Linked DNA regions of Stegostoma tigrinum. The protein of the gene in region 1 purifies or fractionates together with the protein of each later gene. This does not show direct contact. Links are inferred from orthologs where the notes say so. Each region holds a gene or a part of one and is shown on either strand. Other genes may lie near its edges.

What was found.
Region 2: the proteins of phf6 (region 1) and lyar purify together in Homo sapiens (affinity purification with mass spectrometry; 3 studies listed by BioGRID and IntAct, with this or other methods). This does not show direct contact. The link is inferred for Stegostoma tigrinum from reciprocal best matches to the Homo sapiens genes PHF6 and LYAR.

The regions. Positions count from the first base shown.
Region 1 is NC_081368.1:307,370-323,425, reverse strand, and holds the start of phf6 (PHD finger protein 6), read right to left. Parts: upstream 5,855-16,056; 5' UTR 5,786-5,854; intron 5,772-5,785; exon of another isoform or gene 5,718-5,771; intron 2,121-5,717; exon of another isoform or gene 990-2,120; intron 1-989.
Region 2 is NC_081354.1:55,226,254-55,242,071, forward strand, and holds the start of lyar (cell growth-regulating nucleolar protein), read right to left. Parts: upstream 8,572-15,818; 5' UTR 8,246-8,571; intron 3,928-8,245; 5' UTR 3,843-3,927; intron 2,821-3,842; 5' UTR 2,774-2,820; coding exon 2,652-2,773; intron 2,182-2,651; coding exon 2,067-2,181; intron 45-2,066; coding exon 1-44. Other genes in the region: zbtb49 (zinc finger and BTB domain-containing protein 49), read left to right, coding at 13,547-13,704, 15,652-15,818. UniProt on the Homo sapiens protein: Plays a role in the maintenance of the appropriate processing of 47S/45S pre-rRNA to 32S/30S pre-rRNAs and their subsequent processing to produce 18S and 28S rRNAs. Also acts at the level of transcription regulation.

The DNA.
Region 1 (16,056 bases):
GTTCCAATTTAGTCAGAGTCATACAGCATAGGACAGACCCTTTAACCCACCGTGTCCAGACCACCAACAAGCACTAAACTGCACTAATTCCATTTACCTGCACACGTTCCATAGCCTTCTATGCCTTGACATTTTAAGGGCTCATTCAGATGCTTCTTAAATGGTGCGAAAGCACCTGCCTCCACCACCCTCTTAAGCAACCCATTCTGTATTTCTATTACCCTCTGGGTGAAAAAAAAAACTTTTTCTTAGGTCTCCTCTGAACCATTTACTCCTCACCTTAAATGTATGCCCTTGGGTCTTAGGTATGTCTATCACGGTGAAAAGATTCTCACAGTTTAATCTATGTAGAACCATAGAAATTATACCTCATACCACCTCAAAGACACCCAGATGTCCTTTCTAATGAGAGAGAGTAAGAACTGCCAATGCTGGAGTCAGAGATAACACAGCATGGAGCTGGAGGATCACAGCAGGCCAGACAGCATCAGGGGAGCAGGGAAGCTTACGTTTCGGGTCAGGACCCTTTCTAATCCCATCTTCCTGCACATGGCACACAGCCTTCACGCTTACAGCATTCTATATGCAGATCCAGTTATGTTTTTAGAGTTTTAGGGTCTTTGCCTCCAGCACCAGCTCAGGTAGCAAGTTCTAGATATCTACCACCCTCTGTGTGAAAATGTTCTTCCTCATATCCTCTCTAATCCTTTGGCCACTTAGCTCGAATCTCTGATGCCTGGTTTTTGAACTCTGTGCAAAGGGAAACAGGTTCCTCCTATCAACTCTATCTTTCCCGTTCACAATTTTGTATCCTTCAATTATGTCATCCCTCAGCCTTCTCTATTCCAAAGGGAAAAAACCCCAACTTCTCCCTTCTCTCTTCACAGTTACAATTTTCCAGCTCTTCACCGCACACTCTCCAAATCAATTATATCTTCCCTATAACGTATCGACCATGACTGTACATAGCACTCCAGTTGTGGTCTTACCAGTGACTTACATGGCATAATGGTTAGTACTCTCGGCACCAGAGACCAGGATCAAATCCAGCCTTGGGCAACTGTCTGTGTAGAGTTTGCTTGGGTTTCCTCTAGGTGCTCCAGCTTCCTCCCACAGTCCAAAAGGCAGACTGGCTATGCTAAATTGTTCTGTGGTGTGCAGGCTTAGGTGGGGTGCCTGCAGAGGGTTGTGTAGACTCACTGGACAAAATGACTTCTGTCTGCAAAGTAGGGATTCTACAGTTTCATCATTGTATCTCTATTTTCATATATTCTATATCTCTCCCAATGAAGGACAGCATTCCATATGTGTTCTTTACGTCTCTCAATTTTGTATACCTCAATCACACCTCCCTCAGCCTCCTTTGCTCCAAGCAATAAAGAAGACTCTGCCTATCCAGTCTCACTTCATAACAGACTTTTCATCCCAAGCAACATCCTGGTCAATACCCTCTGCACCCTCTCCAACACATCTCAGCTTTCTGATATTCAGCAACCAGAACTGCACACAGTATTCCATCTGTGACCTGTTGGACTATAACCCGGTGTCATTACAACTTTTATAAAGTCAGAAATCACACAAGACTTCTTACAACTATATTCTACGCCCCAGCTAATGAAGGCAAGCATTTTGCAAATCTTCACCACCCTGTCTACCTGTGCTGACACCTTCAGGGATCTATGAACTTACAACCTTCCCTTATTAGGCATTCCAAAATGCAAATCCTCATACCTAAATTCCATCTGCCAATGCTAAGCCCAATTTACCACCTGATCAATATCAGACTGTAGCCTGAGGCCATCCTCCTCCCTATCAACACCAATAATTTGTAAGCCATGAGCAAACTTACTAATTATAAACCTTCTACATTCACATCCAAGTTTTTAATGTACATAAACAGTAAGGGTCTCAGCACTGATCCCCTGTGGTACACTGCTGGTCACAAGCTTCCAATCATAAAAACACCTTTCCACCATCACTCTTCACCTGCTACTTACAAGTCAGTTTTGAATGAATCCTGTTGGGCACTTGGATCCCATGGGCTCTTGTGGACCAGTCTTCCATGTGGGACCTTGTCAAAACCCTCAATGAAGTTCATGTCAGCCAAATCAACTGCACTACCCTCAACAATATGTTTAGACAACTTTTCAAAAAGTTCAATGAAATTTGACAGGCAACTCCTCCCCCCCCCCCCCACCCCCCCACACCAAACCACCAACCAAGCATTTATAGTGACTGTCCCTGATCAATCCCTGCCTTTCTAAGTGTTGGTTAAGCCTGTCTCTCAGAATTATTTCCAACAATTTCCCTACCACAGATGTCACGCTAACTGGTCTATAATTAAAAACCAAATAGCTGCAAATGCTGGAAATCAAACTTAATCAGAAGTTGCTGGAAAAGCTCAGAAGATCTGGCAGCATCTGTAGAGAGAAATCAGAGTTAACATTTCAGTCCAGTGACCCTTCTTCAGAACAGCTAATACCTCGTTATTACTCAACGTTCTAGAATATGACCATCCCAAATAAAACCCCAGCTTTATCCCCTATGAAAACAGCTGAAAAGTATTCATTTAAGACATCATCCGTGTCTACGGGCTGTAAGCACAAACTGAAGATTTTTTTCTCTCAAAGACTTGAGCGTCTTTGGAACTCTTTGCCACAGTGAGTTCTGGGAGCATATTCAAGGAAGAGGTAAATCAATTCTTGATCAGTAGGAGCATCAAGAGTTACAGGGAAAAGGCAGGAAAGTGGACATGAGGAATGTTAGATCAGCCATGATCCTACTGAATGGCAGAAATGGGTCGAGGCACCTAATTGCTGAATCCTTTCCCTACTTCTTGTGGTCTTATGGACAGGCAATATAAAATAAGTGGTACAATTTTTAAATGGAGTCCAGGAGCACAGGGTTTTAGGTGCATATGTATACACAGCATTACAAATGACACAGTTGGAGGCAGCTGTTAAAGCACATTGTATCCTGGGCTTTATTAACAGGTGCATAAAGTACAACAGTAGGCAGATGATGATGAACTTAAAAAAGATACTGATCAGATCTCAGCTGGAATATTGCACACTGTTCTGTGCAGCTCGCTAAAGAAATGATGTGAAAGCATTGGAGAGAGTGCAGAAGAGATGTATTTAAAGGGGCATGAACAATAAAAGTCTAGTTAGAAGAACCAATGATGACAGTGGTTGGAGGGAGGCTGTTCTCCTGAGACATAAACAGGTCCAAAGGAAATCTGAGAGAAACTTACAAAATCATAAGGGAGCTAGAGTAGATAGGGGTAAACTATTTCTACTCATAAAAGTATCAAGAACGACAACAGTATATAGATACAAAGAGATAGAACATAGAACGGTACAGCACAGTACAGGCCCTCCTGCCCATGATGTTGTGCCGAACTTTTATCCAAAAATCTAAGGTCTAAGCTTCACCAAGTAAATGTGATGAAAGAAAAAGCTTTGTCACACTCCTGGTTTAGGTTTTGAATGCACTACCTCTAAGATGTAAGATAGGTTTAATTGAAACATTCAAGGCAACATGAGATGGTTATTTAAATAGAAACAATGAGTTATGAGAAATAAAACACAAGAACGGTACAAAGTTTTTTTAAATTCATTCACAGGATGAAGGATAGCTGGCCAGGCAGCATTTATTGCCCATTCCCACAACCTAAAGGGCAGTTCAGAGTCAACCACATTGCTGTGGATCTGGGGTCACACGTAGGCCAGGCAAGGCAAGGATGGCAGTTTCCTTCCCAAAAGGACATGAGTGAACCAGGTGGGTTTTTTCAACAACCGAAAATGGAATATTAGACTCTTAATTCCAGATATTTATTGAGTTCTAATTCCAACATCTGCCATGGCGGGATTTGAACCCGGGTCCCCAGAACATTATCTGGGTCTCTGGGTTAACAGTCCAGTGATAATACCATGAAGCCATCACCTCCCCATCACGATGGTGGCACTGTAGGAGGTACAGGGGAGGCTCACTAAATTGATTCCAGAGGTCAGAGGGTTAGCTTATGAGGGAAAATTGAGTATACTGGGTCTGTACTCATGGGAATTTAATAAGGGGGGGTGGGGGGGGGGGCAGTGGTTGGAATCTTATAGAAACATAAAATTATGAAGGGAATAGATACGATAGAGGCAGGGAGTTTGTGTCCACTGGTGGGTGAAACTAGAACTAGGGGGAATAGCCTCAAAATATAAGACAGATTTAGGATTGGACCGAAGAGAAACTTCTCCCAAACAGTTGTGATTCCGTGGAATTCCCTGTCAGTTAACCTGTTAAGGGTATCTTGTTGAAAGTTTAAGGCAAAGATAGATTTTTGAACAAGAAAGGAATTAAGTGTTATGGTGAGCAGGCAGACAAGCAAAACCGAGTCCATGAAAAGATCATCCATTATATTATTGAACGGTAGAGTAAGCTCAAAATAGGCAGATGGCCTACTCCTGCTCCTTATTTTCTTATTTGGTGAGCTGGTTTATACACAATGGGCCAAATGACCTCTGTTTGCCATGACAACTTTTGTATTGCCTCACTGTTAATCCAGAGACCCAGATAATGTTCTGGGGACCTGGGTTTAAATCCTGCCACAGCAGATGGTGAAATCTGAATTCAATAAATATCTGGAACTAAGACTCTAATGATGACCAATCATTTTTTGGAAAAAGCCATCTGGTTCACCATTGTCCTCTGGGGAAGGAAACTGCCATCCTTACCTGATTTGGCCTACACGTGACTCCAGACCCACATCAATGAGATTGACTTTTAACCACCCTCTGGGCAATTAGAGATGAGCAATAAATGCTGCCTAACCAGCAATGCCATCATCTATGAATGAATAACAAAGGAAACAAAAAGATCTGCCACTGGGTTAAAATTTTGGAACTATCTTTCTAACAGCAATGTTAATACGCTGATATCCCAAGGAATTAAACAGCTCATCATCACAGACTCCAGGGCTATTAGTGATGAGGAGCAAATACCAGCCTAGCCAATGACACCCACATTGAACAAACAATATAAAGAACGAATTCAGAAAACAGAATGCAAAGCAATTGACCCCACATAACAAAAAAAGAAATTAGTAACAGCATCAGCAGAGAAATGGAGAGCTTTATGGAAAGGTGTAATGGCTTAGAGCCCAGGCAGATGAAGGCACAGCCAATAACAGTCCAACGAATAAAATCAGAGATGCTGAAGAAGCTGAAATTGGAGGAGAACCGATATCTGAAAAGGCTGCAAAACTGGTAAAGATTACAGGGTTAGGGAGGGGCAAGGCCTCAGAGGAATTTGAAAACAAGAGTGAGAATTGTACAATTGAGACGGTGTTTGACCTGGGGACAGCAAGCCACAGGGATTGCCCAGTGAATGGGACTTGGTGTGAGAGCAGAGTTTTAGAGGAGCTGAAGTTAGAATGTGGGAGGGCAGCCAGGAGAGTGGGGCTGGGGCGAGCCTGGTGTTAACAATGAACTGGGGAAAGGGGGGGAGGGGGCAAGTGCGGAGGGGAATAGGGGCAAGAAGCGAAGGGGAACAGGGGTGGACGGGCTGCAAAGAGCTAGCAGCTGTAGGATGGGGCTAAAGGCCTGCCTCTGGGCAATGACCAGTTCACACGTTGCTGCCGGCGGGCAAAGAGCCTCCACGAGGCCGGCGGAAGATCGGGGTCTGGTAATAAACAGCAGGGCTCATCAGCGGCTGCGGCTCACACTCACGGGAACGGTGGAGAGAAAACTGCAGTAGCTTTAACCTAGGCCCTGGGCTCCGGGCCTGCCGTACTCACCGCGGCCTCTCGCAGCCCAACCGCCGCCGCTCGCTCCCGGATACGGGTCCGCGCTCAGCCCGCCACCCGATGACGTCGCCACGCCCCGCCTCCACAGCTCTGATTGGTCAGTTCCGGGAGAGTCAGTACAGGCGCCATCTCCAAGAAGGGGGGGACGGGAAGGAGGTGCGGGACGAGGGTGCTGGGCCGGTTCCTCCGGGGCACCCCGGTCAACTCTTCCTGAAGCCCTCACAGTCCCAGGATACCTTCCCCTGTAACCAGCGAAGGTGTAACATTCACCTCCGCCATCCCCAGGATACAAGGGCCCAAACATCCCTTCCAGGTGAAGCAGCACCTTGCCTGCACTTCCCTGACTCTAGTCGACTCTATTTGCTATAATAGAGATAACACAGTGTAGAGCTGGATGAACACGGCAGGTCCGGCAGCATCAGAGGAGCAGGAAAGGTGACGTTTCGGGTCTCTGAAACATCAGCCTTCCTGCTCCTCTGATGCTGCTTAGCCTGCTGTGTTCATCCAGCTCTATAACCTGTTACCTATGAATCTCCAGCATCTGCACTTCGTACTGCCTCTTCCCTATTTGCTGCTCACAATGTGGTCTCCGTGACATTGCGGAAAGGAACAGCAGACTGCAAGGTGTTAGAAAGGATTCTGAGGGATAGGATTTATGACCATCTGGAAGAGCATGGCTTGATCAAATACAGTCAACACGGCTTTGTGAGGGGCAGGTCATGCCTCACAAACCTTATCAAGTTCTTTGAGGATGTGACTAGAAAAGTTGATGAGGGTCGAGCTGTGGATGTGGTGTACATGGACTTCAGCAAGGCATTTGATAAGGTTCCCCATGGTAGGCTCATTCAGAAGGTCAGGAGGAATGGGATACAGGGGAACTTAGCTGTCTGGATACAGAATTGGCTGGCCAACAGAAGACAGCGAGTGATAGTAGATGGAAAATATTCTGCCTGGAAGTCAGTGGTGAGTGGAGTTCCACAGGGCTCTGTCATTGAGCCTCTACAATTTGTAATTTTTATTAATGGCCTGGATGAGGGGATGGAAGGATGGGTCAGAAAATTGGCAGACGACACGAAGGTTGGAGGTGTTGTTGACAGTATAGAGGGCTGTTGTAGGCTGCAGCGGGACATTGACAGGATGCAGAGATGGGCTGAGACGTGGCAGATGGAGTGCAACCTGGATAAATGCGAGGTGATGCATTTTGGAAGGTCGAATTTGAAAGCTGAGTACAAGATTAAGGATAGGATTCTTGGCAGTGTGGAGGAACAGAGGGATCTTGGTATTCAGATACATAGATCCCTTAAAATGGCCACCCAAGTGGACAGGATTGTTAAGAAAGCATATGGTGTTTTGGCTTTCATTAGCAGGGGGATTGAGTTTAAGAGTCGTGAGATCTTGTTGCAGCTCTATAAAACTTTGGTTAGACCGCACTTGGAATACTGCGTCCAGTTCTGGTCGCCCTATTATAGGAAAGATGTGGCTGCTTTGGAGAGGGTTCAAAGGAGGTTTACCAGGATGCTGCCTGGACTGGAGGGCTTATCTTATGAAGAGAGGTTGACTGAGCTCAGACTTTTTTCATTGGAGAAAAGGAGGAGGAGAGGTGACCTAATTGAGGTATACAAGATAATGAGAGGCATAGATAGAGTTGATAGCCAGAGACTATTTCCCAGGGCAGAAATGGCTAACACGAGGGGCCATAGTTTTAAGCTGGTTGGAGGAAAGTATAGAGGGGATGCCAGAGGCGGGTTCTTTACACAGAGAGTTGTGAGAGCATGGAATGCGTTGCCAGCAGCAGTTGTGGAAGCAAGGTCATTGGGGACATTTAAGAGACTGCTGGACATGCATATGGTGACAGAAATTTGAGGGTGCATACATGAGGATCAATGGTCAGCACAACATTGTGGGCTGAAGGGCCTGTTCTGTGCTGTACTGTTCTATGTTCTATGTTCTATGTTCCAGCAAAGCTCAGCACAACCCCGTCTAAAAGAAAAAAGCAGCTTATGTAAGGTGGAGGAAGCAAGGGTCCAGCACAGCTTTAGAGGATTACCAGCTTGCTTGGAAGGAGCTCAAAAGTGGACTGAGGAGGGCCAGGAGGGGGCACGAAAAAGGCTTGGCAGGAAGGATTAGGGAGAACCCGAAGGCATTTTACTCATACGTGAAGAATAAGAGAACGTTCAGGGAGAAGGTAGGGCCAATCAGGGATAGCGTAGGGAACTTGTGCGTGGAGTCTGAGCAGATAGGGGAAGCCCTAAATGAGTTTTTTGCTTCGGTTTTCACTAAGGAAAGGGACCTTGTTGTGAATGAGAACTTTGAGGAGCAGGGAATTAGGCTTGAACAGATCAAGATTGAGGAAGTTGATGTGCTGGAAATTTTGGCAAACATTAAGATTGATAAGTACCCAGGGCCAGACCAGATTTATCCTAGGTTGCTCCGGGAAGCGAGAAAGGAGGTTGCTAAGCCGCTGGTGAAGATCTTTGCTTCCACACTCTCCACGGGAGTCGTACTGGAAGATTGGAGGGAGGCAAATGTTGTTCCTCTTTTCAAGAAAGGAAATAGGGAACTCCCTGGAAATTGCAGACCAGTCAGTCTTACGTCTGTGGTCAGCAAGATTTTGGAAAGAATTCTGAGGGACAGGATTTATGACTATTTGGAAAAGCATAGCATGATTAAAGGGAGTCAGCATGGCTTTGTGAGGGGCAAATCATGCCTCACAAATCTTATTGAGTTCTTTGAGGAGGTCACGAGACAGGTAGACGAGGGTCGAGCAGTGGATGTGGTGTACATGGACTTCAGCAAAGCATTTGATAAGGTTCCCCACTGCAGGCTCATTCATAAGAGAGTAGTAAGGGAATGGAACGCTTTGCCTGCAACGGTTGTAGATTCGCCAACTTTAGGTACATTTAAGTCATCATTGGATGAGCATATGGACGTACATGGAATAGTGTAGGTTAGATGGGCTTCAGATCGGTATGACAGGTCAGCATAACATCGAGGGCCGAAGGGCCTGTACTGTGCTGTAATGTTCTACGTTCTATGTTCTATAAAGTCAGGAGGTGTGGGATACAGGGTGATTTGGCTGTCTGGATTCAGAGTTGGTTGGCTGACAGGAGGCAGAGGATGGTCGTAGATGGTAAGTATTCTGCCTGGAGGTCAGTGCTGAGTGGTGTCCCGCAGGGCTCTGTTCTTGGGCCTCTGCTCTTTGGAGTTTTTATAAATGACTTGGATGAGGAGGTTGAGGGGTGGGTTAGTATGTTTGCTGATGACACAATGGTTGGAGGTGCCGTTAATAGCATCGAGGGCTATTGCAGACTTCAGTGAGACATTGACAGTCGGCAGAGCTGGGTTGAGAAATGGCAGATGGAGTTCAACCTGGATAAATGCAAAGTGATGCATTTTGGAAGGTCGAACTTAAATGCTGAATATAGGATTAAAGGCAGGATTCTCGGCAGTGTGGAGAAACAGCGGGATCTTGGTGTTCAAGTGCATAGCTTAGTTTTTTGAAGAAGTGACAAAGAAGATTGACAGTGAAGAACAGAGTACAACAAGATCGAGATCAGATGGACCAAGGGGCCAAGGAGTGGCAAACAGAGTTTAATGAACAAAAGAACAAATAATAAAGCAAATTACTGCAAAGGAACAGACCCTTCGGCCCTCCAAGCCTGTGCCAATCCAGATCTTCTATCAAAACCTGTCACCTATTTTCCAAGGATCTGTATTCATGTATTTGTCTAGATGCATCTTAAATGATGCTATTTTGCCCACCTCTACCACCTCTACTGGCAATGCATTCCAGGCACCCACCACTCTCTGTGTAAAGAACTTTCCACAATATCTCCCATCAACTTTCCTCCTCTCACTTTGAACTCATGACCCGTTGTAATTAAGTCCCCCATTCTAGGAAAAAGCTTCTTGCGATCCACCCTGTCTATACCCCTCATGATTTTGTTGACCTCAATCAGGTCCCCCCTCAATCTCCATCTTTCTAATGTAAATAATCCTAATCTATTCAACCTCTCTTCATAGCTAGCACCCTCCGTACCAGGCAACATCCTGGTGAACCTCCTCTGCACCCACTCCAAAGCTTCCACATCCTTTTGGTAATGTGGCAACCAGAACTGCACACAGTACTCTGAATGTGGCCAAACCAAAGTCCTATACAACTGCAACATGACCTGCCAACTCTTGTACTCAATACCCCGCCCAATGAAGGAAAGCATGCCATATGCCTTCTTGACCATCCTATTGACCTGCGTTGTCACCTTCAGGGAACAATGGGCCTGAAAACCCAGATCTCTCTGTTCATCAATTTTCCCCAGGGCTTTCCCATTTACTGTATAATTTTGACAAATTGAGTTGCTGCAGTGTGGAAAGGCAAATCAGGGCAGGACTTTTACACTTAATGGTAAGTTACTGGGAAGTGTTGCTGAACAAAGAGACCTTGGAGTGCAGGTTCATAGCTCATTGAAAGTGGAGCCACAGGTTGACAGGGCAGTGAAGAAGGCATGAGGTAGCGATAATGGGAACTGCAGGTGCTGGAGAATCTGAGACAACAAGGTGTGAAGCTGGATGAACACAGCAGGTCAAGCAGCATCTTTGAAGCACGAAAGCTGACGTTTCGGGACTAGACCCTTCATCAGAAAAGGAAGATGGGGAGAGGGTTCTGAAATAAATAGGGAGAGAGGGAAAGGCGGACCGAAGATGGATCAAGGAGAAGATAGGTGGAGAGGAGAGTCTGGGTGGGGAGGACAGACATGTCAAGGGGGTGGGATGAGGTTATTAGGTCAGAAATGAAGGTGTTGTTTGAGGTGGGAAGAGGGGATATGAGAAGAAGAACAGGTTAGGGAGGTGGGGACGAGCCTATCCACCTATCTTCGTATCATCGGCAAACTTTGCCAGCATGCCCCCAGCCCCTTCATCCAGATCATTAATAGATAAGGTGAACAGCTGCAGCCCCAACACTGAACCCTGTGGGACAGCACTCGTCACCGGTTGCCATTCCGAAAAAGAGCCTTTTATCCCAACTGTCTGCCTTCTGTCAGACAGCCAACTCTCAATCCAAGCCAGTAGCTCACCTCGAACACCATGGGCCCTCACCTTGCTCAGCAGCCTCCCATGAGGCACCGTATCAAAGGCCTTTTGGAAGTCTAGATAGATAATATCTACTGGGTTTCCCTGGTCTAACATACTTATTACCTCTTCAAAGAATTCTAACAGGTTTTTCAGGCACGACCTCCCCTTACTAAATCCATGCTGACTTGTTCTAATCTGACCCTGCACTTCCAGGAATTTAGAAATCTCATCCTTGATAATAAATCACCTTTACCAGAATAACTATGCTCCAGAGTTTCCAGTTGCCTGCCTGTTCTGAGAAGGGTCACCGGACCCGAAACATTAATTCTGTTTTCTCCACCACAGATGCTGCCAGACCTGCTGAGCTTTTCCAGCAACTTTGTTTTTGTTCCTGATTGATAGCATCTGCAGCTCTTTTGAGTTTTTTTCAATACACCATTGCTTTTCCTGGCAACATTTCTGTCTCAGGCCTGCTGCAAGGGCCCATCAAAGCTCCTTAGAAGCTGGAGCAGCAACACCTCATTGTTTGCTTGGGCACTTTGCAGCCTTCAGGACACAGCATGGAATTTAACAATTTTTTTGAGCATTGCCACACACTTACTTGTTGAAACACAATTATCCCAGGTTCTTGTCTCCTTGGAGCTGAGAAGATTAAGAGGTGATCTTAACTATGAAATGATTAAGAGGTGATGTTACTTATGATCAATTTTGATGTGGAGATGCCAGTGTTGGACTGGGATGGGCATGGTCAGAAGTCACATGGCACTGGGTTATAGCCCAATAGGTTTATTTTAAATCACAAACTTTTGAAGTGCTACCTCTTCAGGTGAAGTGAGAAGGGGCAGGCAGGCACAGGATTTATAATCAGCTCAAAAGATCATACAACTGCTGAGAGCGGGTTGTCAACTGGCCAAATAATAAGACCCTGCGGTGATCGAGAGTGTCAGACAGTGTGAGTAAAGTGTCAACAGCTGAACTGCAAGTGAAGACTGACCTATAACCCAATTAATTGAGGAAGAGCAATAATGCCAGAAAATTAAAACTAAGGTGGTGCTGGAGACAAACGAATGACTGGTTATATTACAGAATAGTGTGTTGGGGTCACATTTAGTGCAACGTGAACCAGAGAGCTTGTGATTTCAAATCAGCCTGTTGGATCATAACCTGGTGTCATGTGACTTCTGACAACGAACAATTTTAACAGGGTAAAGAAGGCTATTCTGTTTCTATGAGTTAGTATATCAGTTACTAGGGTTCACAATTTCAAGGTTATCAGTGAGAGAGCTAGGAGTGAGAGAGGACAATCTTCTTTACCCAGACAATTGTTAGGAATTGGAATGTGCTGCCTGGGGCGTAGTAGAAGTAGATTCCATATGACATTTTAAAAGAGAGCTGGATATATATTTTAAATTGATAAATGTAGAGGGCAATGAAGATAGGGCTGGAGTACAGAGCTAGCTAGTTCTTTTAGGAGCTGGTACAGACACTGTAAAATTCTATGACCATGAAACGAGTTGCTTCCAGTTGCCTATTCATTCTCAACTGCCCATTGTCCCCATTATCACCTATCTAGCTTGTCTTCTTACATAATAAAACAAAAAACTACAAATGCTGGAGAGTTCTGAAACAAACAAAAAATTTCTGAAGAAACATCACTGGACCTGAAATGTTAACTCTGCTTTCCCTCCACATCTCCTCTAAACCTTCTGCCCCTAATCTTAAATCTATGCCCCCAGTCATTCATCCCTCCATCAAGGGTTCCTATTAATTTTACAAATCTCAATCATGACTCCTCTCAATCTCCTCTGCTATAAAGCAAACAACTCTAGTCTGTCCAATCTCTCTTTGTAATCAAACTCATAAGTCCATGCAACATTCTGGTGAATCTCAGAGATAGATAACTGCTGATGCTGGAGTCTGAAATAACACAGTGTAGAGCTGGAGGATCACAGCAGGCCAGGCAGCATTACAGGAGCAGGAAAGCTGATGTTACAGATCGGGACCCTTCTTCAGAAATGGGGATGGGGAAGGGGGCTGGGAATTAAAGAGAGAGAGGAGAGGAGGTGCTGGGGAAGGTAGGTGAGATGGTGATCGGTGAGTGCAGCCAGGGAGTGGTAGGGACTTTAGATCTTCCTCCCCCTCCCTGGGTGACATGTCCATCCTGGGCCTCCTCTAATATTACAATGACACCACTAGCAAAATGGAGGAACAACACCTCATATTCCATCTCGGGAGCCTACAGCCCAATGGCCTAAACATGAAATTCACCAGTTTTAAAATCTCCCCAGCCTCGGCCTCATTCCATGTCCAACCCACTCTGTCATCACTGCCTCCTTGACCTGACATAACCTGACCATCTCCTCCCTCACCTATCCATCGCACCCATCCCACTGACAAATCCCCATTCCCAACCTGCATTCAACTATCGCCATCCCACCTACCTTCCCTTGCCTCGACCCTACTCGATTTATTTCCCAGCTCCCTTCCCCCTCCCCATTTTTGAAGAGGAGTCCCAAATCGAAATGTCAACTTTCCTGCTCCCCTGATACTGCCTGGCCTGCTGTGCTTCTCCAGCTCCATATTGCATTGATTCTGGTGAATCTGGTCTGCATCTGCTACAGTGCACTCACATTCCTCCTATAATAAAGTCATGCAGCATAGAAACAGGTTCTTCAACCCACTAATTCTATGTGAACCCCTATGAATGTGGATTCCAGAACCACACACGATATTCTAGCTGTGTCTAATGTTTCAATCAATTCCAGCATAACCTCCCTGCCCTTAAACTCCATGCCGAACCTAATAAAGGCAAATATACCAAATGCCTTTTCTAATCAATTTACGAATCCATCCTGACACCTTAGGGCACTGGTGCACACGTACAACAAGGTCCCTCCAATCAGAGCTAGTGGGAACTGCAGATGCTGGAGAGTCCAAGATAACAAAGTGTGGAGCTGGATGAACACAGCAGGCCAAGCAGCATCTTAGGAGCACAAAAGCTGACGTTTCGGGCTGAGACCCTTCATGATGAAGGGTCCAGGCCCGAAACGTCAGCTTTTGTGCTCTTAAGATGCTGCTTGGCCTGCTGTGTTCATCCAGCTTCACACTTTCTTATCTAAGGTCCATAAGACATAGGAGTGGAAGTAAGGCCATTCAGCCCATCAAGTCCAATCCACCATTTAAATCATGGCTCATGGGCATTTCAACTACACTTCCCTGCACTCTCCCTGTAGCCCTTGATTCCTTCTGAGATCAAGAATTTGTCGATCTCTGCCTTGAAGGCATTCAATGTCCCGGCCTCCACTGCACTCCGTGACAATGAATTCCACAAGCCCACCACTCTCTGACTGAAGAAATGTCGCCTCATTTCAGTTTTAAATTTACCCCTTCTAATTCTAAGGCTGTGCCCATGGGTCCTAGTCTCCCCGCCTAAGGGAAACAACTTCCTAGCATTCACCCTTTCTAAGCCATACATTATCTTGTAAGTTTCTATTAGATCTCCCCTCACCCTTCTAAACTCTAATGAGTACAATCCCAGGATCCTTAGCCGTTCATCATACGTTAAACCTACCATTCCAGGGATCATCCGTGTGAGTCTCCGCTGGACACGCTCCAGGGCTAATATGTCCTTCCTGAGGTGTGGGGCCCAAAATTGGACACAGTATTCTAAATGTGGCCTAACTAGAGCTTTATAAAGCCTCAGAAGCACATCACTGCTTTTATATTCCAACAGTCTTGAGATAAACGACAACATTACATTCGCTTTCTTAATCACGGACTCTACCTGCAAGTTAACCTTTAGAGAATCCTGGACCAACACTCCCAGATCCCTTTGTACTTCTGCTTTATGAATTTTCTCACCAATTAGAATATAGTCCATACCTGTATTCTTTTTTCCAAAGTGCAAAACCTCACATTTCCTCACATTGAATTTCATCAGCCATTTCCTGGACCACTCTCCTAAACCGTCTAAATCTTTCTGCAGCTTCCCCACCTCTTCAGTACTACCTGCCTGTCCACCTATCTTCGTATCATCGGCAAACTGTGCCAGAATGCCCTCAGTCCCTTCATCCAGATCATTAATATATAAGGTGAACAGCTGTGGCCCCAAAACTGAACCCTGCAGGACACCACTCGTCACCGGTTGCCATTCCAAAAAAGAGCCTTTTATCCCAACTCTCTGCCTTCTGTCAGACAGCCAATCCTCAATCCAAGCCATTAGCTCACCTCGAACACCATGGACCCTCACCTTGTTCAGCAGCCTCCTGTGAGGCACCGTATCAAAGGCCTTTTGGAAGTCTAGATAGATAACATCTACTGGGTTTCCCTGGTCTAACACACTTGTTACCTCTTCAAAGAATTCTAACAGGCATATAGATAATGATGGGATAGTGTAAGGGGAGGGGCTTAGATTAGTTCACAGGTTGGCGCAACATCGAGGGCCAAAGGGCCTGTTCTGCACTGTATTGTTCTATGTTCTATGTTTGTCAGGCACGACCTCCCTTTACTAAATCCATGCTGACTTGTTCTAAACTGACCCTGCACTTCTAAGAATTTAGAAATCTCATCCTTAACAATAGATTATAGAATTTTACCACCAACCGAGGCTAGGCTAATCGGTCTATAATTTCCCATCTTTTGTCTTGATCCTTTCTTAAACAAGGGGGTTACAACAGCAATTTTCCAATCATCTGGGACTTCCCCTGACTCTAGCGACTTTTGAAAAATCACAACCAAAGCCTCTGCTATTTCCTCAGCCACCTTCCTCAGAACTCTAGGATGTAGCCCATCGGGGCCAGCAGATTTATCAATTTTCAGACCTTTTAGCTTTTCTCTTTTGTAATGCCTACCATACTCAAGTCTGCCCCTGACTCTCCTTAATTGTTGGGGTACTACTCATGTCTTCCACTGTGAAGACTGACGCAAAGCACTTATAAGTTCTTCAGCTATTTCCTTATCTCCCATCACTAGCCTTCCAGCATCAATTTGGAGCAGCCCAATGTCTACTTTTGCCTCTTGTTTGTTTCTTATGGATTGAAAGAAGCTTCTACTATCATTTCTAATATTACTAGCTAGCCTACCTTCATATTTGATCCTCTCCTTCCTTATTTCTGTCTTTGTTATCCTCTGTTTTTGTAGCCTTCCCAATCTTCTGATTTCCCAGTGCTCTTGGCCACTTTATAGGCTGTCTC
Region 2 (15,818 bases), on another chromosome or scaffold:
ACCTTGGGGCTAACATTTGATTCATTCATGACTTGATGGACTTTCTAGATACAGGAAAAAAGACCAAAGTTAACAATCTACAGCTCTCCTCATGGACCAGACCAAATTCTCTTCAAGTATAATCAAGGAGATAGCCTAGACCCTAAATTTTTCTTTTTTAAAGGCTGTAAGGTGCTGCATTCCAGAGGTAATTTGATTGGTTATGTTACTCGGCTTTAAGCAAAACACACTTTATTGTTAGTCTACAGATAAAATGCGAACAAAGAAGAACTGGTCTAATTTCAACTCTTATGGAAAAACTTAACTGATCAATAGATCATTTAACTACTAAACAGCAACTGTTCCACTACCATAATATCCCAGAAATACATGGCAAAGGCAAATTCAGTAAAACAGATTCTCTCATATACAATTCTAGCAGCAAAGAAAACTCCAGATTTTAGATGTAATAGAGACAGACAGTTTCCATAACTGGTAAGTACTCAAAGCTAAATTAAAACCCAGGTAATGTGGGAACCTGACTTCACCCATTCGTGTTGCTTCTATGATAGAATCATAGAATCTCTAGAGAGTGTGGAAGCAGGACATTTGGCCCATCGAGTCCACACCAAACAGCATCCCACCCAGACCTTCTTCCCTAACCGAAACCCTGTAGCCCTGCATATCCCATGACTAATCCACCTAGCCCGCACATTCCTAGGCACCATGGGGAATTTAGCATGGCCAATCCATCTAATCTCCCCGTCCTTGGACTGTGGGATGAAGCCAGAGCACCCATAGGAAACCCACACAGACATAGGGAGAATGTGCAAATCCTACACCTTAAAAAAAAACCCAAGGCCTAACAAGCTACTTACTAAATTGGCTTGAAACAGACCAGTTGGCACCTCTGTTTCAATCTCTCTTCATTAAAATAAAGGACAAAGTACACCTCTTAAAGCCATAGTCACAACTCTAAAACACATACTGCCTTTATTAACTTTTACACATCATGTGTCAGACACAGTTCAGTTCCTGAAGAGTCACATTTGACTTGAAATGTTAACAGTTTCTCTACCCACAGCTGCTGCAAGACCTGCTGAGTTTCTCCAACACTGTTTCTACATAAGACCCACTACTACAATCATCTGTAACAAATACAAACAACCAAAAATTGCAGTAAGTAATAGTAAGAAAATATAACCCCTTTTTTTTTTTTAAAATCCCTGCACCTAAAGCAGCAGTATGACTAAGCAGAAGAGTTGTTTTGAATTTCCCCTCACGGGTTACACACCTCTGGAGCAGAGGTAGGGACAGAACCACTATGCCACAAAAGGTCCCTCCTCAAGGGACTGAATAACCTTTTTACCAATCATATGTTTAAACCTGAAAGTAACAGAATCCAACTGCAATAATACTGGAGTCATATTAAACAAAACTATATATACTGTAAACACAGAAATCATTGCTTCGTTTCAAAGAGGCTAACTAATTTACTGAGAGATAGTAGGAACTGCCAATGCTGGAGTCTCAGATAACAAGGTGTGGAGCTGGAGGAACACAGCAGGCCAGGCAACATCAGAGGAGCAGGAAAGCTAACGTTTCGGGTCTGGGCCTTTCTTTCAGCTTTCCTGCTCCTCTGATGCTGCCTGGCCTGCTGTGTTACTCCGGCTCCACACCTTGTTAACTAATTTAGTGTGCTTCCCAAAATCATCTGTTTTGATTTCTCAAATGACAGCTGAAACTGCGGGCATGTGCACATAGATTTCTGAACGTAGCATTCTGAAGTCAGTTGATCAGAATGGTGCATAAGAAATTCTTGAACACAGATTTATTGCTTCTATTAAATCCCCAAATAATACTCACACAGGGCCTTTTGGTCTTACTTGACGTAATAAAAATGTAATCAATAATATTATGTAGAAACTTTCACACGACTACCATTAACAACATAAAATATGAATAAGTTTTGATTACAGAGTTAAACAGCCCACTACAACCAATAAATTTTTTAAACGTATGAACTACTGCAAAGTTGAGTTCCTAGAAGCATACGAGGAGCAAGATGCAAAGGAAGATTTACTTACCTCTATCCATTGTTGTTGTTTCACATCTCCTTTTTTGGCCTTGGCTTCAAATCCTTTACCACCATACTTTTCATCTTCACTAATGCATTTAATATGTGCTTTGTAATCCTCACCCCTATAAACAGTTGAAGACTTCTTTTAGGAGGAATGTCAACTATTATTTTATCTCAATTATGTAGGAGGGAGCTTTCATTTCATAATTTCATTGAGTGGAGCCAAAAACATACAGCATAGATCTAAAAAGCATTCTTCAAAGCTGTAGCTGCAAAGATTGAATAGTTCAGCTTCACAAATTCCAACAGAACATTGAACTGTATGCAGTGCTATCAATTCAATCATTTTGCAACTATCAATCATTAGATATTAGTAGCAGTAGCGCTGGAGGGGCTGGCACAACGTACAAGCTGTACATAAGCAGCAGCAGAAGTAACAAATTAAAGCTGAATCTTAGAAATAATGAGACTGCCAATAGGTGATCTCAGATGAAGAAGATCAAAGTAAACAAAACAGGAGCACTTACTAAAACTATAGAACACAACACATGTACAAGCCAAAGCTTCTTACGTAAGAATGACAAATACTTACCAAAAGTCCTTGCCACAGTCAATACATGACAAGCACGGGCAATTCCGACAACTGTTAAAATGTTTTTCCACTTGAGCTTTCTTGACAGATGCTCCACATCCATTACAGATGAAGACCACCATTTTGTTTTATTCTAGGTCCCTTCTCCTTATACACCACAAAGCAATACCTGTAATACGAATAAATATAACTGTCAAACAGAGGAATAATCAGTTCCAATACTCTATGCTGATTTTATCTTATGCTTACAGTTGGCTTTACAATAATGGATGAATTCTGTCATTCTCACTTTTGTCCAGATTTCTCCCAAGTCAGTCCTGATCAAAGTCGCTGACCTGAAACATTAATGCCGTTTTACTCTCTCCACTGATGCTGCCTGACCTGAGTATTTTTGGCATTTTCTGTTTTGCTTCAGATTTCCAGTATCTGCAGTATTTTGCTTTACCAATTGATAGAAAAGTGGATCTATTATAAAAGTTACAGAGGAGTTAGCAAATCATGAGAAAGGAGCAGAAGGTGTTATTAAAGCTTACTTTCAACAGATAGCAAAAATGTTCTTGAGCAGGTAAAGAGGGAATTTCAGTGTTTAGGTCCTAAGCAGTGAGGTTTGAGTGCCAGAGAGATGAAGAAAATCTGGCATACAGAAAAGGCTAGAACTGGTCAAGCACTGAAGGGCTGCATGGCTGAATCAGGAAAGAGAAACAGGAAGAGGTAACGTTACTTAGAGATTTCAAAAATCAAGGCCTTGTTAGGCCAGGATGCTATGTATATCACAGGATAGGAATGATGGGTGAACAGATCTAAGTAGCTGAGTTATGGGTAAGTTCAACTTTATAGACAGAGTAGAAGTTGAATGGCCACTCCGAAGTGCAAAGAAATAGATAGGTATAGGGATGGATAAGGATTTCAGAAGCATTTATATCTGCTTTTGGCAGATACACTATGTTACACAGATGAAAGAAAGTGCTGTCAGCAATGGAAAAGGAGACGTCTGAAACTGCGGGAGGCAATGACAATGTGATAATGTCGCTGGACTAGTTATCTGGACCCCAGGCTAATGTTATGTTTTATTATGGGAGAATTTGATAAAATATACAATAAAAAGCTGGCCTAATAACAACCATGGAAACATTATTGATTATCATTTTTTAAAAACTGCTTCACTGAGGGAAGGAAATCTGCCATTCTTACCTGAAATAAACTAAAGAACTGCAGATGCTGGAAATCTGAATTAAAAATAGAAATTGCTTGAAAAACTCAGCACATCTGGCAATATCTGTGGAGAGAAAGCAGAATTAGCCTTTAGTTACAATCCTTCTTTAGATCTGTTTCTGCATCATTCTTACCTGACTGCCCTAACTTGTCTCCCGAACCACAACAATGTGGTAGGCTAAATGCCTTCCAGACTGGCCTAATAAATCATGCAGTTGTACCAAACCACTGCAAGGTTTAAAAGGAACAAAATTAAACAAGACAGACAGAAAACACAGCCCTGTCAACCCTGCAAAGTCGTCCTGAACTGCATCCGGAGCTTGCCCCAAAAATTGAGACACGTGTCCCATGGATTGGTCAACCATAGTCATACTACAGAATCATACCTCAGAGATGATATCCCACATACCACAATCACCATTCCTCAATATGTCCTGTCCCACCAGTAAGACACAGCCAGCAGAGGTGGCAACAGTCAGCAGGGAATTTTCAAGACAGCTCTTGGCATTGACTCTAGATTCTATGAAATTTCATAGGCATCACCTTGAACATAGGTAAAGAGACACGCTGCTGATCAGCATTATCTCTCTGCCCCTGCTCACCCTCCCCGCCCCGTCCAAAGCACTACATCCATGCTGTCGTACAGGCTTCGTGTGGCATTGTAGCCCAGCAGCAGAATTATATTCAACCACATTCTGCAACCTCATACCCCCACTCTACCGCTATCACGAAGCCAGGGGATCAATCCTAGCTCAATGAAAAATGCAGAAGATTATGTCGAGAAGCACACCAAAAATGAGGTCCCAAATAGTGAAGGTACAACACAATACGAATTGCATGCTTTGCAGCAGAAGTGGCATGAAGTAAACAGGGCTAAGCAATAAAGCAACCAAAGGATCAGATTTAAGCTTCTCAGTGCTGCAACACAAATAGTGGTGATAATTAAACAAACAGGAGATGGAGGGTCTACAAACAGCCTCATCCTCAACAATGAGGAATCCCATCACATCTTCCCTAAAGGCAAGGCTGAAGAATTGCATCCATCAAGCCGGAAGTGCTGAGTGGATAATCCATCTCAGCCTACTTCAGAGGTGCCCAGCATCAGGAGAGTCAATTTTCAGCCAATTCAATTCACTCATGTGACATCAAGAAGTTGCTGGTGTCACTGGGTGTTGCAAGCGTTTTGAGCACTGACAATATTTCAGTCAGACTTATGCTCCGGAACTAACCCAGCTGTTACTGTGCTGCTGTACAAGACTGGCATCCAGCCAATAACATGGGAAATTGCCCGGGGAAGTCCCGTGTACAAAAAGCAGGACAAATCCAGGCCAATATAATAAGATAATAAAATGTGAGGCTGGACGAACACAGCAGGCCCAGCAGCAAAGGAGCACAAAAGCTGACGTTTCGGGCCTAGACCCTTCGTCTCTGATGAAGGGTCTAGGCCCGAAACGTCAGCTTTTGTGCTCCTAAGATGCTGCTGGGCCTGCTGTGTTCATCCAGTCTCACATTTTATTATCTTGGATTCTCCAGCATCTGCAGTTCCCATTATCACTGATACAAATCCAGGCCAGACAGTTATTGCCCTATTATTCTAGTCATGATCATCTCAGCAATAACCTGCTTGCTGATGCTCAATTTGGGTCTGCCAAGGCTACCCGACACATAAGAGCGAGCAGATATCATGAGATGAGGTGTGTCTAACTGGCCTTGACCCCAGGACAGCAATTATTGACACCTACATTGAGACACTGACTACAGTTCAAAAAGATTTCATTGACCAAGAACAGTAGCAGGGACTGCAGGAAACATTGGAAATGGGGGTCGTGGGGTGAGGGAAGAGAGAAAAACAGGCATGGACACTTCACTGGTTGGAGTCATATCTGGCACAGAGGAAAACGGTTGCTGTCAAAGGTCATTCATCTCAGCAGAAGTTCTTCAGGGTAGTGCATAAGGCCCAACCATCTTCAGCTGATTTAACAATGACCTTCACCTGATCATAAGATCGAGGTGGGGCATGCTTATTGACAATTGCACAAGGTGCAGTAAAATCTATATCAACTCAACTACTGAAGTAGTCCTTGTTCTTATGCAACAAGGCTTGGACAACATCCTGATCTGGGTTAACGACTGTCAAATAACATTCATGCCATACAATAACCACCTCCAACATGACAGAATCTAACCATCACCTTTTGAGATTAATGGCGAAACCCCCACTGTCAACACCTTGATGGCGGTTACCACTGACCAGAAACTGACTGAATCAGCCATAAACACACTGAGACAACAAGAGCAGTACAGATGTCAGGCATTCTGCAAAGAACAACTTAATTCTGGGCTCCCAAATGCCTGCTCACCAGGTACAAGTTAGGAGTGTGATGGAATATTTTACACTTGCCTGGATGAGTGCAGCTCCAGCAGAACTCAAGTAGTTTGACCTTATCCAGCACAAAGCAGAACACTTGATTGGTACCACATCCAACACTTTTAACCTTCACTCCTTTCACCAACATACAGTAGCAGTATTCTGAGATAATGGGAACTGCAGATGCTGGAGAATCCAAGATAACAAAGTGTGAAGCTGGATGAACACAGCAGGCCAAGCAGCATCTCAGGAGCAGTATTCTGTGCTACTTACAAAATGCACTGCAGTAACTCACCAATGCTCCAGTAACAGCACGTTCCACACTCATAAGCTCTATCATCTCAAAGAACAAGGACATCAGAACACCACCAGTTGCATGTTCCTCTCCAAATCACACACCACCAGTTTAGGAATACAAATACTGTATCTTCACTGTTGCTTGGTTAAAATCCTGGGACTCCCTGCCTAGTAGCAATATGGATGCTCCTATATTCCAAGGATCACAGCGGTTCAAGAATCCTATTCACCACCACCTTCTCTAGGGCAACAAGGAGACCTTACAGAAATTTATAAAATAAACAGCGGTATAAGAGTTAATGGTACTTGTCTTTTCTCTAGGATGGGCAATTTGAACACTAGGGGGCACAATTTTAGGGTGAGATGAGAGACTTAAAAAAGATGCAATTTTTTTTACATAGAGGATGGTTCACCTGTGGAATGAACTTCCTGAGGAAGTGGTGGATGTGGGTACAATTATGATGCTTAAAAGATATATGAATAAGCACATGAATACGAAAGGTTTGAAGCGATATGGACCAGGAGCAGGGACTAGTTTAGTTTGGGATTATGCTTGGCTTGGACTAGTTGGACGGAAGGGTCTATTTCTGTGCTGAATGACTCTAAAAGTAAAGACGGGCAACAAAAGCAGGCACAGTCAGAGATGCCCAGATCCCAAGAACAAATAAAAGAAATTCAGCTAATGGTCAAAAAAAATGCCAGGGTAACATCAAGAGTTCACTTTTAGACAGTGAGGCCAGAGTGAGGGATGGAGTCTGTGAAGAAGAACCAAAGATGACAGCTTTGTTCTTCCCAATATTCAACTGTTAAGTACTTGACAGTTATAGCATTAGGCAGTTGACAGTTTACAAGTGTGAAAATTAAAACGTCTCTCAATGAAGCTGAGGGCTTGCATTGATGGGCAGATGAAAGTAGAACTGCTTCAGGCTAACTTGGAGAGAGACTGGGTGATGTTCACCACAATTCAAAGTTGCACCAAATTGAGGAATATGAAATCCAATTTCCCATCATGACACTGATAGCCTAAAATCAACATTAAAAGTATTACTGTCTCAGGTTGAGATTGTGGGCTCAGGTCCCAATTTGGAGACTTGAACAGACATAATTTAGTGGTTTCTCCAAAACTGTTGGTAGTGCCATTTTTGAATTGAAACATTGAACTAAAGTTGCACCTGTTTTCATGAGAATGTAAATATCACAAGACCCCACTCTGAAGAAGTAAGTTATCACTCAGTTAGCACTTATCGTGCTCTGAATTTATTGACACCTACATTGAGACACCAACTATAGTTCAAAAAGATTTCATTGACTCTAAAGTAATTTGGATTGACTTAAGGTTGTGAAATGCTATTTTTTTAAAAAGAAGAATTACAATTAAATAAAATTATTAAATTACAGAGACTGAAACTATCAAGTCATCTTTAGGTACGTTTATACATATGCCAAGCACATGGAGTGGAAAGAAATGCAAAGAATAAAAGTTAACTCAAGGCCGGGGGGGAGCAAAGAAGCTGACTCTTCAGTGGGTCCTTACTGAAGGAGGAGTGCAGCCGCCTGTTGGAGGTGTATTTCTTTTTCATTCGAAACAGGGCCTTCGAGTTAAGTAAATGATTTACAAATGACTTAAGCACCTTGCTTAACTTGCAGCAAGAAGCCAGACAACTTCTAGAATCGACATAACAAAAAAACAGGAACAGTCTGAAACGAAACGAGTTACCTGTTACCCTTCAGCTCCACTCGCTGCAGCGAGCTCCTCAAACAGACCCGCTGCTCCTCACCCTCCTCCGGCAGCCCCAGCCAACCCGAACGCACACGTGTGTGGTACCGGAAAAACGAGATGCAACGCTCCGTCTCTTCCCCTATCTCCTCCGCCCCAATACTGAGGTTCCGGGTGCCGCGTTCCTGTGGAGCTCACCGTAAAAAGGGAGAAGGGAATAGAGATGCCAGAGAGTGGGGGCCAGGGCAGGACGGGCAAGAAGAGAGCGCGGAGCCTGTAAACAATTAGGTAAAGAACCTTGCCCGGGAATGGAATGCGGCCCGATCCGGGCAGGGTTCCAATTGTTTGTTGCAATTTGTTGTAAATGGTTATTGCCCAGTCAGGCGAGGAGATGGCTCCTTTTACTCTGACCTAAGCGACCAGGAAAAGCGTTCCGGGGCGCAACAGCATCAGTTGGTTCGACTGCTGTCCTCCACCAGCCTCCCGTCTTCCTCCAGTTTGCATGTTCCGCCATCCACTTGCTTTGTGCCTTTCCCGTGCTAGTGCATCTAGGCCCCGAGTCCCTTTTATTAATTGTTGTCCTGGAAACTGAATCGGAAAACCTCTCCCCTAGCTTGGCAGTGATTACAGGGAGAAAGGATGGACCATGATTGAGGATCAAAATCTATTGCAGAATGAAAATCTATTCAGAAGGAAAGTGGAATGGAAAATGGAAATCCCTTAGCTTTTAATTTTAATTTAAAAGGTACAATGATGATTAATGATGACTGGTTAAATGTATTTATCTCCAATCACTTTGTGGATTTTATTCTAATTTTGAAGTGTTTCACGTATTCTATCAGTTTTTTGTTGTTTTTTTTCTACTGGATGTGAATAAGGGTATAATGACTTAAAGGATTTATCTTTGGTGAGGATTGCAATATGTCAAGGAAGCTGCCTGCACAGACAAGATAACCGTAGCATTATTCACAGCAGTCTGTCTGCCGAGTAACTTCACATGTCGTTTCTCACCAACAAACCGAGATCTAGTCCGTCTGTCTCTGCATTAACAACATTTAATGTTGTTTACATTATTACATTTAACATTAAATGTTAAACAACATTTTAATCCACCAGATTTTTCCTGTTATTCTTCTGGCACGGAATGTTTTAAGCAGAAAACGCTGGAAATTACTGGACAGATGAGCAAATATCTCTGCAGGGAGAGCAGCAGAGTTTACGCTTCAGGTCGATGACCATTCATTAGAATTCGCAAAAGTTAAAGATGTTTAAGGTTTTTATTCAGTGAAAGGATGTGTTAAAGAACAGAAGGTCAGGGTCTGATGTCAAGAGGGCATTTAAGTGACAAACCTCTTACAGGGTGTGAAAGGCTTCAAAATATCTGGGAGACACCGCATGTTACTTCTTCTGGGCCACAGTCTGGGCAAAACTGTGGAATAGAGGCAGGTAGCCAGAGGCTTTTCCTCCTGACACAACCTGCTTTTGGGTGATATTTACATTTGCCATACCCCTTTCCTCGCAAACTCTGTGGGAAAATTGTACAATTCATTTACTTAGCACCTTGACAGAAAGTTTTAACCACACCTATCTGTGATGGATTTCAAGATCTGATCTCTACATGCTTAATATTTTGAAAATAATCTTGTGAATTTGTTGGTTGTAATTTCTAATTCCAGTATCTTTAGGAATGTGGCATTCTTTCCATTAATGTAGTCAGTCAACAGCATTGCTGCTAAGATAATAAAATGTGAGGCTGGATGAACACAGCAGGCCAAGCAGCATCTCAGGAGCACAAAAGCTGCCAGAGGAATAGCATTGCTGCTATTCCTCTGACAATTAAGCAATTCGAGATATGAGGGCTATCCACTACAAATGAGAAAAAAATGCTAATACAATTGCATTTAATTTAATTTCACTACTGTCTTGTATCACAGATAATTCACTTCTAAATATTTTACAATTAGGTATTATATTTAACCAGTGTTAATAAACAGCTAGCATTCTATCTAAATTATGAATAACTTGGAGGGTACTTTCTTAATAATGAGGAGTATAAAATCATGTAAATCATTGTTAAAGTTTGACATTACTGATACTTAGCAGATATTAAGCAGTGTGTAAGCAAGTTCTGAATGCACTTTCCTTGCTTGCCCCAATTATCCTGGGAGTCTCAATGTTCTATTTTTTTCCAGAGCTGAGACACAAAACCTCATGTCCAAAGTAACTGCATGACCACTAACCTTCACCTCAAATATCACTTTGTCATCCCTATTTTTTATTCACTGCAATTGACATCATTCACATCTTTACTTTTTCAACACTTTGTTCATTGGCTTCCTAATCTCCACCATAAACTTCAACACGTCCTTAAAAGTATAGCATGCTCACCATTCTGCTATAAGTCCCATACATCTACTACGCCTGTCCTTGTCAATTTTTAATCACCTCTCTATTGCACTGAAACATTAACTTCAAAATCCTTGTCTGTGGATGTGAGTTTGCTCGCTGAGCTGGAAGGTTAGTTTTCAGATGTTTTGTCACCATTCTAGGTAACATCATCAGTGAGCCTCCGACGAAGCGCTGGTGTTATGTCCCGCTTTCTATTTATCTGGTTAGGTTTCCTTGGGTTGGTGATGTCATTTCCCGTTCTTTTTCTCAGGGGATCGTAGATTGGTTCCAAATCAATGTGTTTGTTGATTTAATTCCGGTTGGAATGCCATGCCTCTAGGAATTCTCGTGCGTGTCTCTGTTTGGCTTGTCCTAGGATGGATGTGTTGTCCCTATCAAAGTGGTGTCCTTCCTCACCTGTATGTAAGGATACGAGTGATAGTGGGTCATGTCGTTTAGTGGCTAGTTGATGTTCATGTATCCTGGTGGCTAGCTTTCTGCCAGTTTGTCCAATGTAGTGTTTGTCACAGTTCTTGCAAGGTATTTTGTAGATGACGTTCGTTTTATTTGTTGTCTGTATAGGGTCTTTTAAATTCATTAGCTGCTGTTTTAGTGTGTTGGTGGGTTTGTGGGCTACCCTGATGCCAAAAGGTCTGAGTAGTCTGGCAGTCATTTCGGAGATGTCTTTGATGTAGGGGAGAGTGGTTCTGGTTTCTGAGCCTGTTTTGTCTGTTTCTTTGGGTTTGTTGCTGAGGAATCGGCAGACTGTGTTCATAGGGTACCCATTCTTTTTGAATACGCTGTATAGGTGATTTTCCTCTGCTCTGCGTAGTTCCTCTGTGCTGCAGTGTGTGGTGGCTCGTTGGAATAATGTTCTAATGCAGCTTCGTTTGTGGGTGTTGGGATGGTTGCTCCTGTAGTTCAGTATTTGGTCCATATGTGTTGTTTTCCTGCAGAGGCTGGTTTGAAGTTCCCCATTGGCTGTTATATTTGGAAAGTTAAGATGAACAAAATTGTAATTCAGGAGTTCAAACTGGGAAATTACAGTATAAGTTGAATTTTCCTTTCTTAACTATTTTTAAAATGCTCAATGACCTTGTACTTGAGCAACTTTTATTTTTAATTGACTTGTGGGATGTGGGCATTGCTAGCTGGATAGCATTTATTCCCTATCCCTAGTCGCACTTGAGAAGGTGGTGATGAGTTGCCTTCTTGAAACGCTGTAGTCCGTGTGCTGTAGGTAGACTCATGATGCCTTTAGGGAGGAAATTGCTTGTATGAAAGTGAATCTTGCTGCTGTTTTATATCCCTCCTGACATTTATTTCCCCTCTTTTATTGAAATGTACATAAAAATTATGACTGATGTAAAATAGTTTGCTATTCACTGTCATTCTTTTACAATATCAAGTGTACTCCCAATCTGTCGCACACTTACCCTTCATTTGTGGTATTTTCAAATCCCTATGACCTCAGCACAGCTTATTTCACTGCTCTGAACTCTTTAAAAACTCTGCTCACTACTATTTCACTCTTTATTGTGATATTTCTTTCCACATTTACCTCAAGCATTGACTTGTATGGTCTTTTGTTTCTTGCGTTTATACCACAAGAAAGCTAATGGAATGTTGTCCCGTTTCCAGACTGGAGTACAAGAATGCAGACTTTACGCTGCAATTATATGAAAACCTGACTCACCCCTGCTCTCCACCCCACTAAACTTTGGAAGGTCAAAAATACTTGCAAGGTGGTAATCCTTGAATCACACATTATTTTTTATTCTAGAAACATGAAGGATACTCTGCAGCAAAGGGAACAGATATACCTTCATGCCCGTGATGTTATGTTATAGTTCTGAAAAGAATTTTTTAAAAAGATAAAATTATGGATGACTTTTTACATTAGTTAAAAAATGTATTAGATAAGGTGAATTTCTGGCAAAGCGATATTTGTTTGAAATGATGTTGAATGTTGAAACAAATGTCTTTAGATCAATGGGTAATGTATATTTGAATTAAATATGATTTCTGTCTCTGTCTGTGGTTAGTTGAGTTTTTACCCAAAGTGAAGGTAAGGTGGCATTTATTATTCTAAATTAAAATAGTCAAATTAAAGCTCAAGAGCCATGAAGTTTCACTGCAATAAAACATAATCAGTTGGTTACAAAAATAATTGATCAGGTATTGGGATATTCTGAGCTGGAATTTCTTATAGAAATATTGGATCATCTTCATGTTCACCCAACCCCTACACCTTTTCATCTTCTTCACCCAGTTTTAGAAATAGTGCTGGATGGATGACAATCTCAATTACCCTTTTTAAGACAAAACCATTGCATAACCAGGGAGGGAAAAAAATATCTTTGAATTTTATCTTTTACTTCAACAACTTGCATCTTTATAGTCCATTTGATGCAACATAATGTCGTGTCCAATGATTCTTACCCCTGTGCTCAGATCAAAACATAGCATAAACAAACTGCTCAAAACATTTTCTGAAGAAGGGTCTCGACCCAAAACGTCAGCTTTCCTGCTCCTTTGACGCTGCTTGGCCTTCTGTGTTCATCCATCTCTAAACCTTGTTATCTCAGATTCTCCAGCATCGGCAGTTCCTACTATCTCTGCTAAAAGCACATATCAGAAGTATTTCTTGGAACCCTGCACGCAGAATCACATTTTGACTAAAGAAAAGCAATATCAACTGGTCATTTAGCTTTAAATTTGTGAAGGAATTTACAAAATTTCTTGTGTGAATTCGAAGCTGTGATGAGTGACTTTATCTCAACTGCATTTGAGACATCCTGCTGTATGAATAAAACCACCTACCCTCCAACTGATTGATTGATTGATTCTGTACCATTTTAGTAAGTCTCATGTTATGTCAGAGTTTCTTTCCCATACTAGGTCAGCTAAAGGATGGCAGCCGAAGCACTAGGAAACCACAGCTGCCATCTACTACAGCAGCTTCATGAGCAGCGTATCCAAGGATTCCTGTGTGACTGCATGCTGGTGGTGAAGGGTGTCTGCTTTAAGGCTCATAAAAATGTGCTGGCTGCATTCAGCCAGTACTTTAGGTAGGTATGAACTATCCGTAACGTTTAAATTCAAATTGTGTACTGGAATTAGAGTTGGTCTGAAAGTCATCTTTTTTTTAAATCTCAGCCAGTCTTTGCTAATGGACATGTCCACCCATTGTAATAAAATGTGAGGCTGGATGAACACAGCAGGCCAAGCAGCATCTCAGGAGCACAAAAGCTGACGTTTCGGGCCTAGACCCTTCATCAGAGAGGGGGATGGGGAGAGGGAACTGGAATAAATAGGGAGAGAGGGGGAGGCGGACCGAAGATGGAGAGAAAAGAAGATAGGTGGAGAGAGTATAGGTGGGGAGGTAGGGAGGGGATAGGTCAGTCCAGGGAAGATGGACAGGTCAAGGAGGTGGGATGAGGTTAGTAGGTAGATGGGGGTGCGGCTTGGAGTGGGAGGAAGGGATGGGTGAGAGGAAGAACCGGTTAGGGAGGCAGAGACAGGTTGGACTGGTTTTGGGATGCAGTGGGTGGGGGGGAAGAGCTGGGCTGGTTGTGTGGTGCAGTGGGGGGAAGGGACGAACTGGGCTGGTTCTTCCCAGTTTGTCCCCTCCCCCCACTGCACCACACAACCAGCCCAGCTCTTCCCCCCCCACCCACTGCATCCCAAAACCAGTCCAACCTGTCTCTTCCTCCCTAACCGGTTCTTCCTCTCACCCATCCCTTCCTCCCACCCCAAGCCGTACCCCCATCTACCTACTAACCTCATCCCAACTCCTTGACCTGTCCGTCTTCCCTGGACTGACCTATCCCCTCCCTACCTCCCCACCTATACTCTCTCCACCTATCTTCTTTACTCTCCATCTTCGGTCCGCCTCCCCCTCTCTCCCTATTTATTCCAGTTCCCTCTCCCCATCCCCCTCTCTGATGAAGGGTCTAGGCCCGAAACGTCAGCTTTTGTGCTCCTGAGATGCTGCTTGGCCTGCTGTGTTCATCCAGCCTCACATTTTATTATCTTGGAATTCTCCAGCATCTGCAGTTCCCATTATCGCATGTCCACCCATTGCATTGGTTATGCGCATATGATACATAATTAGTCTTACATATAGCGATTACTTACTCTCAGTGCCACAGTTACCCTTTATGAGATATCCCCAACCTCACAACCCCTATTCGCACTGTTCCGGCTGACCATGAGCTTTGATTAGATTGTTGGAAAAAACTTATGCCTGACATTTTTCGAAGTTTTCTTATTTTACTTTGTTTTCACTATAATTCACATTAGATTATACCAGAACCCACCCAACATTGCTTGCATCCTCAGCTATTTGTAATTACTTCAGACATTTAAAGTCTTTTTTTTGCATTTTTCTTCCAAATTATATTTAGCACACCATACAATTTCCATCTGGAAACTCTTGGGCAGGTTATCGTTGTTTAAGCAATCTGTAAATTGTTATTTACATTTTGCGAGTGCCTTTTCAAGTGCTTTAAGTTCAAAATAAATTATGGACCTTCAATGTTAATTACCCTTCAGTCAGTCTGTCGCTGTCATACACTTTCTGCCCTGAGAAATCCATTCCTGGTAACATCACAACCAATCGCAGTTATCACATGAAGCCATTGAATTGATTATTAATCTCAGCGTCAAACTATAACTGTTTCTCCAGCCAAGAAATTAGCTAACACTGGCAGTAAATCATCTCCAAACACATCTGGAGAGTAGAGTTTTATCATCCAATTGTAATTATTAGTTTACAAAAAAAATTCTTGCTGCTTTGAATGCCTTTACTGTATTCTTAAATTGCTTTACCATAATTACATTTGTAGAGTGAAGTAAAAGCATCAAAGTTCACTTTTTACTATCACAGAAAATGCTGTGGATGTTTAGAATTGAATTCTTTGGCTCATTTTTAGTAAAAGCATTTGAGTAGTAACAAGTTTTGAGTTTGTCTTTTTAGCTTAAAGTAATTTTCTGTTCTGTCCCAAATCTTTCAGGACCTTATTTCAAAATTCTTCAGGCCAGAGCCGTGATGTCTTCCATTTGGATATTAAAAATATTGGTGGCATTGGCCAGATTCTGGATTTTATGTATACTTCGCACCTTGACCTTAGCCATGAAAACGTCCAGGCTGTGTTGGACATTGCTCAGTGTTTGCAAGTAC